Drosophila melanogaster: one gene and its partner. The protein of the gene in region 1 interacts with the protein of each later gene in a pairwise test. Each region holds a gene or a part of one and is shown in the gene's direction. Other genes may lie near its edges.

Region 1 (10,389 bases):
TTCATGCAAAATACTTTGCAAGAGCTCATGAAAAACCAAAATATCCTGATTCAACTTCTTGTATCTTCAAAATCCCCATAATGGCTTCCCTACGGATATCTCTGTGGAACGCAAATGGCGTTTCACGGCATACACAAGAGCTCACACAGTTCATTTACGAAAAAAACATCGACGTAATGCTACTATCAGAAACGCACCTCACAAATAAAAACAATTTTCATATACCAGGATACTTGTTCTATGGTACAAATCATCCAGATGGTAAAGCTCATGGAGGCACTGGAATACTCATCAGAAATCGCATAAAACACCACCACTTAAACAATTTTGACAAAAACTACTTACAATCTACGTCCATAGCCTTACAACTCAACAATGGTTCAACGACTCTAGCCGCAGTCTACTGCCCACCGCGCTTTCCAATCTCTGAGGATCAATTCATGGAATTCTTTAACACACTAGGTGACAGGTTCATCGCAGCGGGTGACTATAACGCCAAGCACACCCATTGGGGATCACGACTTGTGTCGCCAAAGGGTAAGCAATTGTACAATGCGCTTACGAAGCCAGAAAACAAGCTAGACTATGTATCCCCGGGTAAGCCTACATACTGGCCAGCAGACCCAAGAAAAATCCCAGACCTGATCGATTTTGCAATTACTAAACATGTCCCCCGCAACATGGTCACCGCCGAAGCACTAGCAGATTTATCATCAGATCACTCACCTGTTTTTCTAAATATGCTAACTCGCCCCCACATCGTCGACCCACCGTATAGACTCACAAATTTTAGAACAAACTGGCCAAGGTATCAGAAGTATGTCTGTTCACACATAGAACTAACGACGGCATTATCTACAAAGGAGGATATAGACAAGTCAACGGAAACTCTTGAAAACATTTTAGTTTCGGCTGCAAAGGCTTCAACCCCGCCAGTGACGTATGCAAAACCAAACTACATCAAAACTAATCGCGAAATCGAGCGGCTGGTTTTAGATAAACGACGCCTACGAAGGGATTGGCAGTCTAATAGATCACCAATTACTAAGCACATGCTTAAGATAGCCACACGCAGGCTTACCAATGCTCTCAAACAAGAGGAAAAAAACAGCCAACGTTCATATATCGAGCAACTCTCTCCCACCAGCACTAAGTACCCTCTTTGGAGAGCTCACAGAAACCTAAAGACTCCAATAGCGCCAATTATGCCACTACGAAGTCCCTCTGGCACCTGGTTTCGAAGTGATGAAGAAAGAGCCAGTGCTTTCGCTGACCATTTACAAAATGTATTCCGACCAAACCCCTCTACCAACACATTTATTCTCCCTCCTTTAATAGCAGCCAATCTAGATCCTCAAGAACCCTTTGAATTCCGACCATGTGAACTAGCAAAGGTTATCAAAGAGCAACTGAACCCAAGAAAATCGCCTGGCTACGACCTAATAACTCCAAGAATGCTCATTGAACTCCCAAAGTGTGCTATTCTTCACATCTGCCTGTTGTTCAACGCAATCGCCAAGCTTGGATACTTCCCTCAAAAATGGAAAAAGTCGACCATAGTAATGATTCCAAAGCCAGGAAAAGATAAAACGCAGCCATCATCATATAGACCGATAAGCTTACTAACATGTCTTTCAAAGCTGTTTGAAAAAATGCTACTCCTTCGGATTAGCCCTCATCTTAGAATAAACAACACACTTCCAACACATCAATTTGGCTTTAGAGAAAAACATGGAACCATCGAACAGGTCAACCGAATCACGTCAGAAATTCGTACTGCTTTTGAACATCGAGAATACTGCACAGCCATTTTTCTAGACGTCGCGCAGGCATTTGACAGAGTGTGGCTCGATGGACTTTTGTTTAAAATAATCAAGCTGTTGCCCCAAAACACACATAAGCTACTGAAGTCATACCTATATAACAGAGTGTTTGCAATAAGATGCGATACAAGCACTTCACGCGATTGCGCAATCGAAGCTGGAGTGCCGCAAGGCAGTGTACTGGGTCCAATCTTATACACCCTGTATACGGCGGATTTCCCCATAGACTACAATCTAACAACCTCCACGTTCGCTGATGATACCGCGATACTCAGTCGCTCGAAATGCCCAATAAAAGCCACGGCACTCCTATCCCGACACTTAACATCTGTAGAACGATGGCTTGCCGACTGGAGAATTTCAATAAATGTTCAAAAATGCAAGCAGGTTACCTTTACCTTAAACAAACAAACATGCCCACCACTGGTCTTGAATAACATATGCATTCCACAAGCCGACGAGGTAACATATCTGGGAGTTCATCTGGACAGGCGGCTCACTTGGCGCAAACATATAGAAGCCAAATCGAAACATCTTAAACTTAAAGCAAGGAACCTCCACTGGCTCATAAATGCTCGCTCTCCACTTAGTCTGGAGTTCAAAGCTCTTCTATACAACTCCGTCTTAAAACCTATCTGGACTTACGGCTCCGAGCTGTGGGGCAACGCATCCAGAAGTAACATAGACATTATTCAGCGAGCACAGTCAAGAATTCTGAGAATTATCACTGGAGCGCCGTGGTACCTTCGGAACGAAAACATACACAGAGACCTAAAAATCAAATTAGTAATCGAAGTAATAGCTGAGAAAAAAACGAAGTATAACGAAAAGCTGACCACCCATACAAATCCCCTCGCAAGAAAACTAATCCGAGTATGCAGTCAAAGCCGGCTGCACCGCAACGACCTCCCAGCCCAGCAATAAACTTATTAGGGCATTAATGAAAAAAAAAAACTATCACTAAGTGAAAGTTAATTAAGTTAGATTAAGATTTGAACACTTATTGTTAGTCTCTTAACACAAAGGGAAGATTCAATAAATAATAAAAATTAAAAAAAAAAAAAAAAAAAAAGAAATTTGCACTTTACTCATCTTGAGCCAAGTAGAAAAGATTTGACACAACGTACAAGTATACAAATTCGTATCAATCATACGCACTGTGGACTATTATTTAACTAGTTACCCTAGTGAATTTAAATACCCGAAGTTTGGAAGATACCAAAACAAAAGTACGTGGATACGTGTATGTGGGATGATAAAAAATGCATTTTTGGCAAGTGTGTGTGTGTGTGTTTAGCTGTTTGGGCACGCCCAAGTGGATCGTTTGGCCTGACACACATCCGACACCCTGCCCAAAATGGCGAGGGCTAGTCCCTAGAGTTCGTTGCCAATCGAGAGACACCGCAGACGTTCTGGAATCCGCCATTACGGCCAGTGCATAGGTGCCATTTGCCAGGCACTCCAAACTTCGCACACTTGCAGTCCACAAGCACGGCGGCTACACTTCTCACCTCACCGCAGTTCGAAGTCGATAGCCGCCACCATTTTGCATATAAAAGAGTGATCGCGTACGTGCCGCACTTCTCTCGTCTTTTCAACCACGATCCGGTCACGATCGGACCCAGACTTGTGCAACACGAACACTCACAGAGCTATTCCGGCCCAAAAGCCAATTGGCCAGAAAGCCAGAAAGGCAGAAAAGCAGAAAGCCAAACAGCCAAAAAGCCGGGCTTGCCAGTGATCAGCGATCGGCGATCGGCAATCAGTGGCTCAAAGCTTTTGTGGATCGCATTGGGCACTACCCCAGCAGAGCTTTCCAAAACCCACCACAGGTGCTCGAAAGAGACGTCGCCGCCGCCGCCGTGTAATAAAAGAAGCAATTTTGACTTCGTCTGGGGCTTTGGTGTCAGAGAGGGGTTCGAGAAATTGTGCGCGGCATCGTAGCAAACAGTGTAAATGGAGCTTTGATAGCGATCGGAAGGACAAGACTAGAGCTCCAAGAAGTGTTTTTTTACCCAAAGTGTGTTTGCCAGGAAAAAAGAAACATCGATATAAGACTCTAAAAAAGTGTGCAGCTAATACCAGCGATCGATCCAATCCCAACAGGTCCACCTAAAGATGGCAAAACTGTTTGTGGTTTTTGCCGTTTTGGCTCTGGCGGCCTTTAACGAAGGTAAGGTCTCCAATGAAACGCACATATTTTATGCCTCGCCGTAGTCATAAGTTTTAATTATCGAACTGCAATTTGCATTTGGCTGGCGGAAGTTGTTGCCAAGACATCAATTAAAACTGCTCGACGGCCTTCACAGAGAAACGGAAACAAGAAGGCTGGCAATTGAAAAGCCGTTTTCGAGATGCAGATGTGAGTGGAGTGGCGTGGCGTGTCGTAACCTTGATTATGCGAAAAGGACTCGTCCGGCTGTGACTAGTTGGTAAACAACTTTCGTTTTCCGAAGGGACAAACGATTGTTTACCTTGAGTCGCGTAGAAACCCATTCAGCTTGACACTTGAGCTCTGTGAATGCAGTTCTCTGAAACTCAATACGAATCTCAATCCGAGACCACTTGACTTTGACAGGCCATCGATCATGATTAGAGTCGCAGCATAAACATCGCCGTGTTGCTGTCCGTCAATTAACGGTTATGCAAATGCGGCAACTCCCTCGACTTCAAAAAATTCAAATTTAAACTGAGATTCAAATCCGAATCCGATTGCGATTTGAAAAATGCGCGACAAGTCGGCTGTTGCCAAGCGTCGCGAGATGCAAAATGTCAAAGTTAGAGCGCAGGCGCAGCAGCGAGTTTCTAAATTCGCTTTTCAGATTTCGGTTTTTATTTTTGCACCGACATTTATTTGTGTTTCTGCGCTCGGTTCTCTGGTGACATCGTATTTCATAATGCCAAACGTGTTTTTTTTTTTCGGCCAACACACCAAGCAACCAACCAGCCCGACCGCATGCCATGTCTATTTAGCCCGGCCAAATCCACTCGTATCTGTATCTCTGCAGCTGTAGCTGTATCTGTGTTTTTGTAACAGGAAGTGCCAGGCCATGGCGACATGGAACCAACCCAACCCAATCCAAGCCAACTCAATCCACACCCAACCCACATTCGCCGTGGAAATTCTTCCGGTTTTGCAACTCCAACTGCAATTGCATCCATTTATATTTCCATTTCCCTCGTTTCGACTTGCAGCCAGTGCCAGCGATCCGCTCCTGCGATACAAGCGACAGGCCACCACCGAGGAGACCAAGAAGGAGGAGTCCTTCGAGAAGGAGCTGTGCAAGGACAAGGACGCCGGCGAGTGGTTCCGCCTGGTGGCCGGCGAGGGCGACAATTGCCGCGACGTCATCCAATGTACCTCATCGGTAAGTTACAAACTATCTATAGTTGTTTGTAAATATAATTGTAGATACATGGAATGAAAGCTTATTAACATCACTTTTCATGAGGGATTACCATGTCTATCAATACAATATATCTTCATAAAATATACTTAATATTATTACTTTGTATTTATTTATTTTTAAACAGGGCCTGCAAGCCATCCGTTGCCCTGCTGGTCTGTACTTCGATATCGAGAAGCAGACTTGCGACTGGAAGGAGTCGGTGAAGAACTGCAAGTCCAAGAACAAGGAGCGCCGCGTGAAGCCCCTGCTCCATACGGATGAGCCCCTGTGCCAGGACGGATTCCTCGCCTGCGGCGATGGAAACTGCATTGAGCGCGGACTCTTCTGCAACGGCGAGAAGGATTGCTCGGATGGATCCGATGAGAACACCTGTGGTGAGTACTTTGAATAAATATTTTGTTTTTAAGGATTGCCTTAGGTTTTTAATAGCTTTTGGCACACCTTAGTCGAAGCACTTAACAGAAGTAATAAAAAGTGTAATTAGTATGCATTAGCCATTTTATGCATGATTTATAAAAAAATCCAAAAACTTAAATTGCAATAATTAGACATTAGGCCAACTATGGCCAAGGACCAATAAAATGGAATTACCAAAAATAATTGCCTCAATATTGGGGATAATGCGGGCTCGCTCCACTTTTTTTTTGTGAGCACTTTTTCATTTAAGTTTGACATTTGACAACAATAATTCAGTGTGATTCAGCAGAAATTGAGGAGGGCGTCAATAGAAGTAAGCCGCCGCCAAGTGTTGTTTATAGGATTGGCTTTCCCAAAAGCCCGAGGTTGAGTGCTATTACTCCATCGGCTCAAATGATATATGTAAGCCTTCAAGTGGCTCGTGATATGGGTGCACACTTTGTCAGATAATATGCCAATAGCATAAATAATTGATCTTATGTTTCCTTTCTTGATACATCCAAATCCGAATCCGAATCCAATATCTTTCTCTGGTCGAAATTTCTTTAGTTACTCCAGTCGCACCTTAAAACCGGTTGACGGCATTTAGGCATTACCTCAGCGAAGGAGGAACACTTCAAACTCCACTCTCGAAAGCACTGACACAACGGCACACAAGTGTCTGAATTTCGTGTTTCTTTCGGTTTTTGGAATTTGGAAGGGGTTTGGGGATTCCAATGACGGCCACATGCAATGGAACCCCGTCTGCAGCACAGATCCCACGAACCGGTTTCGCAAAGCCCTTTAGCTCCATCGTATCTCGGAGCCAGCTGAACCGCCGCACTCAGCTCGACGGGATCAGCTCCGATCTCGAATGGACAGCGATCTTTGGGTGGAAATGTCAAGTGTGAAGTGGAAACGAAATGTCAGACACGGCTGGTGGCCAGCTGGCTAAAACAGAGGGGGTTGGGGGAATTAAGGCAGTCATGTATGGAAAACATTAAATCATTAATTAGCAACATCGTAATAGCGCTAACCTTGGACTTAATAGAAATCAAATCGAAGCAAAACAAAATGCCGCTCCATAGGTGGTTTCGATTCATGTGTAAATTAGCCTTACATAAGCGGCTTAAGAGCCACGGTTATTTTTAGCAATTGCAGAAAGCCGCAAAAGCCGAGCCAAAAGCGGGCGAAAAATAAACACACAGTCATAAGCACCAAATAATAATACACTATAATAACAAAAGTAACCAAAGATTGATACAGCAGACCGCGCAAAATCGCAACTAATTCATAAAAATACTAATAACATGCCCAAACAGTGAGTGCCATAAGTTTACGCTCACTTCGTTCTTCTTGCACGAACGACATTTCTCAAGTGGCTAACCTGGCATATAAAGGCTGCCTCAACAAGCCAATTAAGTGCCAAATAAATCTGGCTAACTAGCTTCTGCTTCTGCTAGATTCACCACCTGCGATTGCGATCCGTAATGTATATATCTATCTATCTATCTATAAAATGCGAAAATTTGCACTTCTGCCTGACTTTTGAAATGCCCAGCCGAGCAGAAAGCCATGCCCGCGATCGCAAACAATTGAATAACTCCAGTCCAAGTTTAGACCACTTCGCCTTTGGGCCCAATGAGGAAGCTCACGTCTCCGGGAGGCGAAGCAAATGGCAGGCGATTAAAAGAGCGATTAACTGGTCATACATCGTAGTTTTAAAAAGAGCGACAAAGTAACGAGGAAAGTGCTCCGAAAAAATGTTGCCAAATAGTGTAGTTTTACTTGGGCAATAGCCATAAAGCCTATAACTCCACCACATGTGTATTCTCTTCAAGAGAATCCCATGTTTTTAGCTAACTTCAGATTAAAAGTGCATATGAGAATTGGCAACAAATGAGAATGACTTGTGCAAAATGATAAACTAATATCAAATCGATTCGAAAAGAAGTGTTCCAAGAATTCAATCAACACTTTTGATTAATGAATAGATTCAGCTACACATTACCGATTCTCGGAAGTACGTTAAGATCCCACCGAATTTAGCCAAAAACAAAATTCCCCACAATTATTTCTCGGCCACAATTCATCCCAATCTTGGCAAGCTCCTCTTCGGCAATAATGAGCCAGCTCACATACATTCGGCAATCTCCGCGGCAATCTCTGCAAAAATAAATAAAATGAGCAAAAGCCAAAAGCCCTAAAAAGTCAATAATGCCGGTGGATCTGGTGAATACCGAGTGAATACCGAATGCTGAATGCTGAATGCTGCTGAACCGGTCCGGGATGACATAACAGCCGTCTTTAACGACAGATTATTGGCCAATATTGGCAGAAAGGAGGGGAATGAAAGCGGAGCCACGGCGCAAAAAGGTCAACAAAGAGACAAAGCCGGCAAAATGGAAAACACGCAAAAAAAAAAACGAGTGAAAAACTTGATGGACAAAATGCTTTGGCCTTTACATGCCGTGCCTGCCATTTCACTTTGGCCAATACCAATACCAATTCCAAATGCCAAATGAGACAGCGGCAACAATAATTGCGGCTAATATCTTTGGAAACTTTCGCAATTGATTCCGTTTGACGAGCCGGCAAGTGCAAGGCTTACCAATTGGTAATTGAGTGGACCATCATTTGCATTTGGCCCGATAATCGAGCGCCATATTTTCGGGATGGGTGTGGTGTGGCTAATAAGCGAACGCTATCTGCATTTCAAAGCGGCTTCGCTTGATTAACAACACTTGAAAATTGCTCAAAACAAAGCCAAGAAAAATCCCAATAATAATAATAATGAAAGAAACATATGCCGATGAAAAACTCGCATTGTGCAGACATTTTCCATTCACTTTGCGTTTCGGTTTTCCCACCTCTCTTGATTGCTTTTCCAGACCACTTCGGTTCATTGAACCAACCCCGTACCCCCTGCCCGCCAAGCTTTATCCCCTCACCGTTGGCTAATTGCTTAAATATTTATATGAAAAGTTAAGTGAACTTTTGCCGGCCAGGTGAATGCAGGCAGAATATCAATTGTTGATTGGTTATTTGATGGGAAAAGATGACAGGCTGTTTATTGTAATGAATTTGTATTTTACAGGGTATCGATTATCTCTAGTTATATCCCTACATATATCTCTTGCTTACTTATTTTAAGAATGTGCTTTACACACCCCATTTATATGCAAGACTTCTCCTTCAATTCACTTCAGTTTGAGGAATCTTTCGTAATGTACCTTATGATTTCCTCGTCCTAACCCCATAATTTGTACCATTTTGCCCCGCCCACAGATATCGACAACGATCCCAACCGTGCCCCGCCCTGCGATCCCGCCGTGTGCGTCCTGCCCGATTGCTTCTGCTCGGAGGATGGTACATCGATTCCCGGCGACCTGCCCGCCAAGGATGTGCCCATGATGATCACCATCACGTTCGACGACGCCATCAACAACAACAACATCGAGCTGTACAAGGAGATCTTCAAGGATCGCAAGAACCCCAACGGCTGCTCCATCAAGGCCACCTACTTCGTGTCGCACAAGTACACCAACTACTCGGCGGTGCAGGAGACGGCACGCAAAGGACACGAGATCGCAGTGCACTCGATCACGCACAACGACGAGGAGCGCTTCTGGTCGAACGCCACCGTGGACGACTGGGCCAAGGAGATGGCCGGCATGAGGATCATTACGGAGAAGTTCGCCAACATTACGGATAACTCGGTGGTGGGCGTGCGTGCTCCCTACCTGCGCGTGGGCGGCAACAACCAGTTCACCATGATGGAGGAGCAGGCCTTCCTGTACGACTCCACCATCACCGCTCCGCTGTCGAACCCGCCACTATGGCCCTACACCATGTACTTCCGGATGCCCCACCGCTGCCACGGCAACCTGCAGAGCTGCCCCACCCGATCCCACGCCGTGTGGGAGATGGTGATGAACGAGCTGGACCGTCGCGAGGATCCCGTCAACGATGAGTACCTGCCCGGCTGCGCCATGGTGGACTCCTGCTCGAACATCCTGACCGGTGACCAGTTCTACAACTTCCTGAACCACAACTTCGACCGTCACTACGACCAGAACCGCGCTCCCCTGGGTCTGTACTTCCACGCCGCCTGGCTGAAGAACAATCCCGAGTTCCTCGACGCCTTCCTCTACTGGATCGACGAGATCCTGGCCAACCACAACGACGTGTACTTCGTGACCATGACCCAGGTGATCCAGTGGATGCAGAATCCACGCACCATCAGCGAGGTCAAGAACTTTGAGCCCTGGAGGGAGAAGTGCGTGGTCGAGGGCAAGCCCGCCTGCTGGGTGCCCAACACCTGCAAGCTGACCTCCAAGGAGGTTCCCGGGGAGACCATCAACCTGCAGACCTGCGTCCGATGCCCCAACAACTACCCATGGGTCAGCGATCCCACTGGCGATGGTTTCTTCTAAGTCAGCGATCTTAGCCCCATGCCCCCCTTGAGCCCCGAGCTCTAACCCAAACTCTAACCCAAACTTAACCCATACCTATCACACACCAAACCCTAAGCCCTAGCCCAACACAAACTCGATCGATTATCGCCCATTTGAATTTGAATTGCAAGACTTTTACGAGTGCACTCGTACTCTCTATTTGACTGATTTCGAGGATCAAGTCTTTGCTGTGTTACGGTTATGTTAAATCAAAAATGAAATGAAATTCGACATGAAGACAAAACAAAAGATATTCAAAACTGCAAGCCACAACATCCGAACTTGTGTTTACACTCTTTTTTG
Region 2 (7,671 bases), on another chromosome or scaffold:
AACATATATAGCTATTGTCTGAAACTTTAGCGAGTGGAAAGGTTTTCCCCGTGCCCATTTGAATGGCAGACATGTGGATGCTTTCGGATCGCTTTGGCTCGGTTTCGTTATATGTATTATTCGTTAGATATATGTTTGTATATATAGATAGGTGTCTATGGTTATATCTATAGACATGTGAGGCTCGCGTGCAATCATCAATAACCAGATTTCAATGCCAAGACCTCTTGCAGTCCCCGAAATTCATTAACATTAGTCGAAATGAAAGTTTTCCCAGCGGACACATAGTCACCTTGAGAACCTCAGCACCGGAAAAAATAATTAAGCCTAGAATGAGAACAGATGTCAGTTGAGAAAGATACAAACAAAGCAAAACTTATAGACCAGAATTATATGTTAATTTATGCATTTAGTTTTTATGATAAACATGTTAATGGTTCTAGTGTGTTCTTACTACCTAAATGATTTGGTTTTTCATATTTTTTCGTCATGGCTTGAAATGCTTTGACCTTAAAACAATTTAAAATTAATTAATTTTCAAACAGAACCCATATCTGTTTGTGTGCTTTATATTGCAAGATTATTATTTTCATAAAAAATTTATAAGCATGCATGTTTCAAGATTTTGAGACAGTTACGTGCTTTTTTCCAGATTCAAGTGATAGACTTGATATCAAAACACCGCTGAAAAGGACGCAATATGAAATGGGTAAATTCTGGGTAAGGTGGGCGAGGTGGGTGATTATAAGGGGCCGGGTCGGCTGACGTCAAAGTTTTTTGTTCGCCACTTTTTTACGTGCCGTATACGTGATTTATTCGCGAATAGAACGCGGCGAGACACAGGCATTTGCATAATGGAGATGATTTGGTGAAGAAGAGGGTTTGGGGAGCCGCCAGAAACCACAATTATGCAATTTCCTGGCCGTCTCTAAGCACTTAATTATGGTTATTAAAAATTTGGCAAATAGTTTCTTCGCCTTTGTGCGCCCGATCATTTGCACATAGTTAGCTTGAAGCCAGACGCATGTGAAACATCGGAATTGGCCATATCATTATGGTTAAAATAAATTGTATATTTACATACATACATACATATATGCATGTTCGGATGTGGCGTGCCAGCTCTTAGCCAGATTTGCAAATCGGCAACGAGTTGAACGAACGATGGTAGCAATATTTTGACCATCATCATCATTCAAGAGATGACAAACTGCTAAATATTGAAGCAAAAACGTGGAAAAAATAAAAGAAGTGAAGAGAAAGGCAGCCATATGAACCACATTGAATGATTAACACTCTTTAATAGCATTAATGTCTTCATTTGTTTAATTTACTAATTGATTTCGCCAAACAAAACGCTGTATTTTAATGCTTATTGGCTAGTAACCAGAATAACTTGGCTTTGGCTTGGCCAGTAAGTAATAAAAGCCAACAAATGGTAAATAATAGATGGTGGTATCATATCGGACAGTGAATAAGGTCAGTTATAGTTTATTCAGTAGGGGTTTTAGTAAGCGATCAAACTAGTACCCAAAATGAATTAATAAAGGCAAGATAGCAAAGGAAAGAGGTTAGTATTTGCTGGTCAAACCGCCCGTTTTGAGGTCAAACCAAACCCCCTTGAGGGAGTTGGGGTAAATAGTTTTGCTTGCACTTAAACGAAATCAATGCGATTAAAATCGACTTGGCCCAGTCTTGCGGACGGCCAACTGAACTAGCCTTATCAACCATCGAGAATCGGTGTCAGCTAATCGAGCACCCACAACTACAACAACAAACCGCTGTCCCCAATAGTGGAGCACCACTTGGTCATTCCGACCACGTCGCATGGAAATGGAAAACGAGACGAAAACAGAAATGGAAACGGAAAACAAACCTAGAAGCCGAAACCAAAACAGAATAAGAAGCAGCGCCACTCCAAACATGGTCAACGAAATTTGTTTTGTGTTTTGTCACTTTCTCAGCCCAGAACCAAAGAAACACAAACGCGTCATATGGGTGCGCCCTTCAGAAAAATGTGCACAATAATGGGCAAAAGTGTACATGGCTTATAAAGTATTATTCTTACAAATACTGTGACTATAAATCGGATTTAATAACAACTAATCAATTCAATGGACAACTCAGCATTTGCATTATATTAAACCTCTAATGTGAACGCGCTTATGATATTCAAAGTTCAAAGTGTTATTTAGTCAAATAAGGTAATATGTCTGCTAGTAATTTGCCCCCTGCTGTAGTAACTATGTACGTCATTTGCAGGGGTTCTGAACCCAACCCATAGCAGTGGTTCACGTTACACTCGAGCACGTTCTTATCGCAATTAATTGCAGCGCATTGCATAAGCATCGCAAACTTATAGGGTGATACCAAAACGTAAACATAATCTCTGACTCAGCCCAGTGGGTAGCAATTATTAATTATAATTAATAAGCCAAAAGCCAAGGCAAGTCTTGCTTTGATTGGCCAAAAACGCAGCCAGAAGCGGAAAACAAAAACTGAGTCGAATTACACCACAGTTCAAGGGATACAAAAGGGAGTGGGCTGGGGGTCGATATCTGGCTAAGATCGGTGAGCTTACCCAGCCGGATCGGCACTGGAGCGCATCTGAGTGTGTCCACGTCAGCGGGCATCCAAAACAGAGCAGAAATCTTGAGATCCGAGTAATCTAGATATTGTCCTTCAAGTCAGTATTGTGCCACTCAACTGATCAACTTAAGTAGCTTGGAAATTTACATCAAATTATGACAAGTTGTTAGAAAAGTAGTATATACATATTCCTTGGCACGGGCCTTAAAGTAATATACATTTCTTTCTTATAAAATGTTTAATTTTATTACTTGATTTACTTGCAGTTGCATCTGAAGTGCAAGAAGGAAACAAATTAAATATTCACTAGGGCGGAATACTAAGGAAAACTCAAGCCACACACTGAGGAAATCAAAGTAGGAACAACTAAAACTGTAAGTAGTAACGCAAGGAAAATAAGGGAAATTGGGAAAAGGGAAAACAAGCAACATCAACATCTGCAAATCATATGCAGAGCGTCACTCGCATATGGATATGAGATTTCAGATTTTCGTGACCATATCCGGTTGCCAGTCAGCAGTTGCAACTGCAATTGCAGCTTCCATCAAAACAATAGCAAAAACCAAAAGACGAAATGCGGAGCGAACTGAAAACGCAACTTGGGTCTTTTGGGGCCCAGGGAAATCGCATCTTGGCATTCGCCATTGTTGCTATGGGGATTTTTTTCTTTTTTGGCGGGGGGTGTACAATAAATATAGGGTGGAAGTTGCGTAAAACGATGATATGATATTCACACATAGATCGGGCGATAACATCAATAACTAAAGATGATGTGGAAATCAGAAGGTTCAAATGATGTGCCTATAAGGTTACATACATAAATAAATAGATAAATACATACTCTTACATACATACAAAGGTTGTTTTCTAGTCTAGCAAATGATGTTTTAAATAAGAGAAATGTATTTGTAAGAGTACATAACTTGTATCATAAATTAATAATATTATTAAGACTCAACAATGGTTTGGTCTAAAATAATCCACCATTTGATTCAGTGTTTTGAATCCAAATTAAGTTAAGTTTGTTTTTGTTTTGATTTATATCCAGTGTTGAATAAGCTTTTCATGTACTGTGTGTGTGTGTGTGTGTGTGCATATGTTTATGTTCATCTTATCTTGTTTATCTAGCATTGTATAATTAGGTTTAGATTTTGTTAGAATAAGTTTAGATACATCCAGTGCTGTATAATGTTCCAATAACTACATATTTATCTAGTATTGCATAATTCATTTTAGTGTTTAAATAAGTTTAGATAAATCCAGTATTGTTTAATTTGCTGATGAACTTAGCAGTGATTGGCCGAAAGTGGGAAACCTAACCTCATGTTCTAGAAAAAGAATCGCCAACAAATTTCAAGTAAGCAGTGCCTTCTGTCAACTCGAATGTCATTTGGAATTGCCTGAGCTCTATTCAGTTTCGTATACCTCCGGATTACACGTACTAACGTTTGAAAAAAAAAAAACTAAAATTCCAATCAAAATGCCACACAAAAAATTTCCCAGAATGTCACAGGCGCAACTCAAACGTTTGATCAAATCACAAAATCAGAACATAGCAAAGGCCGCGTGTATTTTGGAACCCCCAAAAATTATACAGCAGCCGTCGATGAGGCAGTCCATCATTCCACCGAATCCTGCTTATAGCAAGAAACAGGGCAAAAATGCGGCTCGCCCAAATTCCGAGCGAGCTGGAAAGGTGCCAATGCAGGGGCTGAACCACGTGGTGCCGGAGGACACTGTGAAACAGGTGAAGCAATAAGTATAGTGCAAAAAGCGGGCTTATCGCATAAAATAGTACTTTCAGCATAATCAATCTAAGCAGATGCAACGCAATCGAAGGAATCCATCGTCGAAGATGCAACAAAATGGCAATGAAGCATCCAAGCAGGAGAAGCCCAATCAGCACGAGGACAAGAGCCGTCCCAAGCAGTTGTATTCAAGCGTTGTGGCCAATAAGCAAGACGGGCCCACCGCAGTGAATGCTCCTCCACCCAAGGAGGGCTCATCTGTCAATCAAATTGGATCGTGTTGTCATCATGGCAATGTTTCGGGCGAAAAGCAGAAATGTCCGGATACCAGCTCATCATCCGCCACGTTCACTTGGCCCAGTCAATCGGTTAAAAGCCAGGGGTTTTTCGGAACTAGCGATTCTTCAGCTGACCCATTCAGCATGCAGAATCTGAAGAAGATTGCCCGGGATTTCTTCTCATATCCGGAGTTTCATCCACCGGAGGCCAGCGAAAACATTGCCGCTGCCAATGGCTCCAAGAAAGCTGAGCCCTCGAGGACGAAATCCCAGCCGGGTCTCAACTCTTCGCCGAGAGGCTCTGCCTTGGGTGCCGATAGGTCGGGCCATCCTCAATCGATTGCGGGTGGAACGAATTCTCGCCGGAAGGATTATCCATTGGAGGAGGCCTTCATGACCGTAATCCGCAATCTGCGCGAAAATTATCCGGGCAATGATTCGATTTCATCTTCAAATCGCCCGAATATCCAATTTGATAACTACCAATCGGCGCAAGGTTTCGGCTATGGTTCCAATTCCTATTACAACGCTCAATCGACATCCGCTTACGGCTATCCTCCGACTGGTTTTCCGATGTCCCAGCAGTCAGGCTTCATGCCAAAGTATAACCAAATGCCGACGGCTAATGGTTCAAATTTAAATCAACCGCCATTGATTAGCGAAACTTATCAGGCCGAAGCGCAGCAGCATCCTTGCTGGCCGGTATATATTCCGGAATATGTTTCGCATTTTATGTTCGGTGAGCCACAGGACGCCAATGCCAGCTGCTCTCGTAATTCAAACCACGGCAACAAGATGTAAAATAGAATCCGGAGGGAAATCGGAATAGTGTAGCATTTAAAAATCTATTCATCATTCAACACCATTCGAAAAAAATTGCTAATGTAATACACAGACCAATTCCGTAATCCTAATCATTTATTTTGCATCTATGTATTAATAAACATTTGTAATGTTACAAATATTTTCCATATATTTGTAAGCCAATTACACTTAACCATCTTTTGTAATGATGCAATCCGAAGATAAACAAAAAATGTATGCATCTCAACTACCTCAATTAGAATTTAAGTAAAATGTGTAATGATGATGATGTATAAAGAAATGCCATCAAATTTCACTTTCAACTCGGCGGAAGAAAGTGAAAAACATGCGAAAAAAGAAATTAATGAAAAAATCGAGCAGCTTACCAACAATTGAAATAAAGGAAAAAATCAACTAGTCAGCGTCGATTGTTTGGTGGTCAGTTGTTTGGTTTTCTACTATTACCAAACCAATGCCAACAAAAGAAATTTTTTTCTTTTTTCTTTTTTGGCCAAGTAAAATAAGAAATCAAATAAGATGAATCTTGCCTTATAAAATGTGAAATTTTCCTGCCATTATGATTAGAATTTGGGCTTAAGCTCATTATCTAATCAAAGATATTGATAACACCTGCGAAAAAGCAATTGAAGAAACTTACGATTGATTGATATACTTAATGTGATCGAATTTATTTATATGGCTTTATATACAAGCTAATACATGTCAAATTATATATTATAGAAAGCGTGTTGGTCATTGAACGCGGTAAATTATTCAAGTAGTTGGATATCAAAACCATTAATGTAAATGCAATAGGGTAATTAAATTGTAAAGGGGTATTTATTTACATATCTTTGTAATTACTCTGTAATCGTTTAAATTTGTTGCGCAATCTTGAACATGGAGAAAACTATATCTGATTTGAACAAAAGGATCTTTTGTGCCAAACATTTACGTTACTTGGAGGATAATATGTAATATTGTACAATAGTTAGCATATGTGGAATATTTGCTTTATTTATTTATTTGTACATCGTAGACAAAAGTTTTAAACTTATGCTACAATAGTTATATCTACTGGCTATAGTCGGACTTTTTTAACATCTACTTAAGTATTAGGTTACAATTATTTATAAGTATTTATTTAAGTATTTTATACATATATTATATTCATTGATTCACATTGATTGGGAATTACAAAGATGTGCTATTTGTTTACAGAAGATTCATTATGTTGTCTTTGTTCAGAAATTTAAGTAAATGTTCGAGATTTTCAGGTGTGGGTGTTTTCTAAGTTGTCTGTAAGTTTCGAATGCGAGTTGCTTGATCTATGTGATTGGAGGGCGATGCAATCGTCTAGGATGTGGGGAATTGTCATGTTGTCAATATTGCAGATTGGAAGAATCGGTGCTCATGAGTCGGTCTGGTGTGTCCTAGACATAGTCTAGTTATAATCGGTACCATAACGTACCCAAGGAGGTGCACTTCTTATGTAATTGATTTTGTCATTGATAATGTTTGCCTTTAAGTATCTGTTTATATCAGTGCGGTTGAAGTTTGGGATAATTATCAAGGGCACGGTTGTTGCCTCTTTGGCTAGATTTTTGACTTTAGGAGCATGTTTAATGAGTAAGTCGCTGATCGTTGAGACGTAGAATGTTGTGTTGTTTATGTTGCCGATGGCTTCTTTGCGGAAAGATAGCCAAGATGGATATGGCTTCAGGCTTTGGAGTAGCTTGTCTCGGTGTCTCATCTTCTTGCTTGCTTAATATATATATATGTATATATATATATTAATTTGTAATAACTCAATGGTAGTTGTATAAATACATGCGACAACTAAAGACTAGGGGCTAGTTGTCCATTGTTTTGCAGTTGCGACACGCACGTTACTTTCTGGTTACTCCAATCTATAGGCATTTGGTTTGTCGTATGCTGGGGGCATGGAAATGAAATTTCACTTTGTTCTGCAAAGTGAGGGAGACTTCACTTTCGATTTGCATACAAAAAATTAAGTTATTTTTTAGATAAGTGGGTAGACTGTTTCGCAGACAAAGAAAGCCCACAGCGTAGCGGTGAAAAGAAGTGAAATGCTGGAAAATTGCAGGGACAACCAGTTAAATGGGTTTCGACTGTGCCGAAAGTAACAATTGTTTGCTAATTTCAATAACTATATATTTATTTAACCACAATGGCAGGCATTCAAAACGAAATTGGATGAGGTCACCTTTAACACTACGCCATTTATTCAA

The links. The genes of interacting proteins can lie anywhere in the genome.
Region 2: the proteins of serp (region 1) and CG12992 interact in a two-hybrid assay, tested with the Drosophila melanogaster proteins (one large-scale study listed by BioGRID).

What each region holds. Positions count from the first base shown.
Region 1 is NT_037436.4:19,701,027-19,711,415, reverse strand, and holds the start of serp (serpentine), read left to right. Parts: upstream 1-3,400; 5' UTR 3,401-3,941; coding exon 3,942-3,996; intron 3,997-5,018; coding exon 5,019-5,191; intron 5,192-5,357; coding exon 5,358-5,607; intron 5,608-8,917; coding exon 8,918-10,065; 3' UTR 10,066-10,389.
Region 2 is NC_004354.4:17,586,133-17,593,803, forward strand, and holds CG12992 (uncharacterized protein), read left to right. Parts: upstream 1-2,732; 5' UTR 2,733-2,798; intron 2,799-2,855; 5' UTR 2,856-2,963; intron 2,964-3,825; exon of another isoform or gene 3,826-3,882; 5' UTR 3,883-4,069; coding exon 4,070-4,336; intron 4,337-4,384; coding exon 4,385-5,416; 3' UTR 5,417-5,574; downstream 5,575-7,671.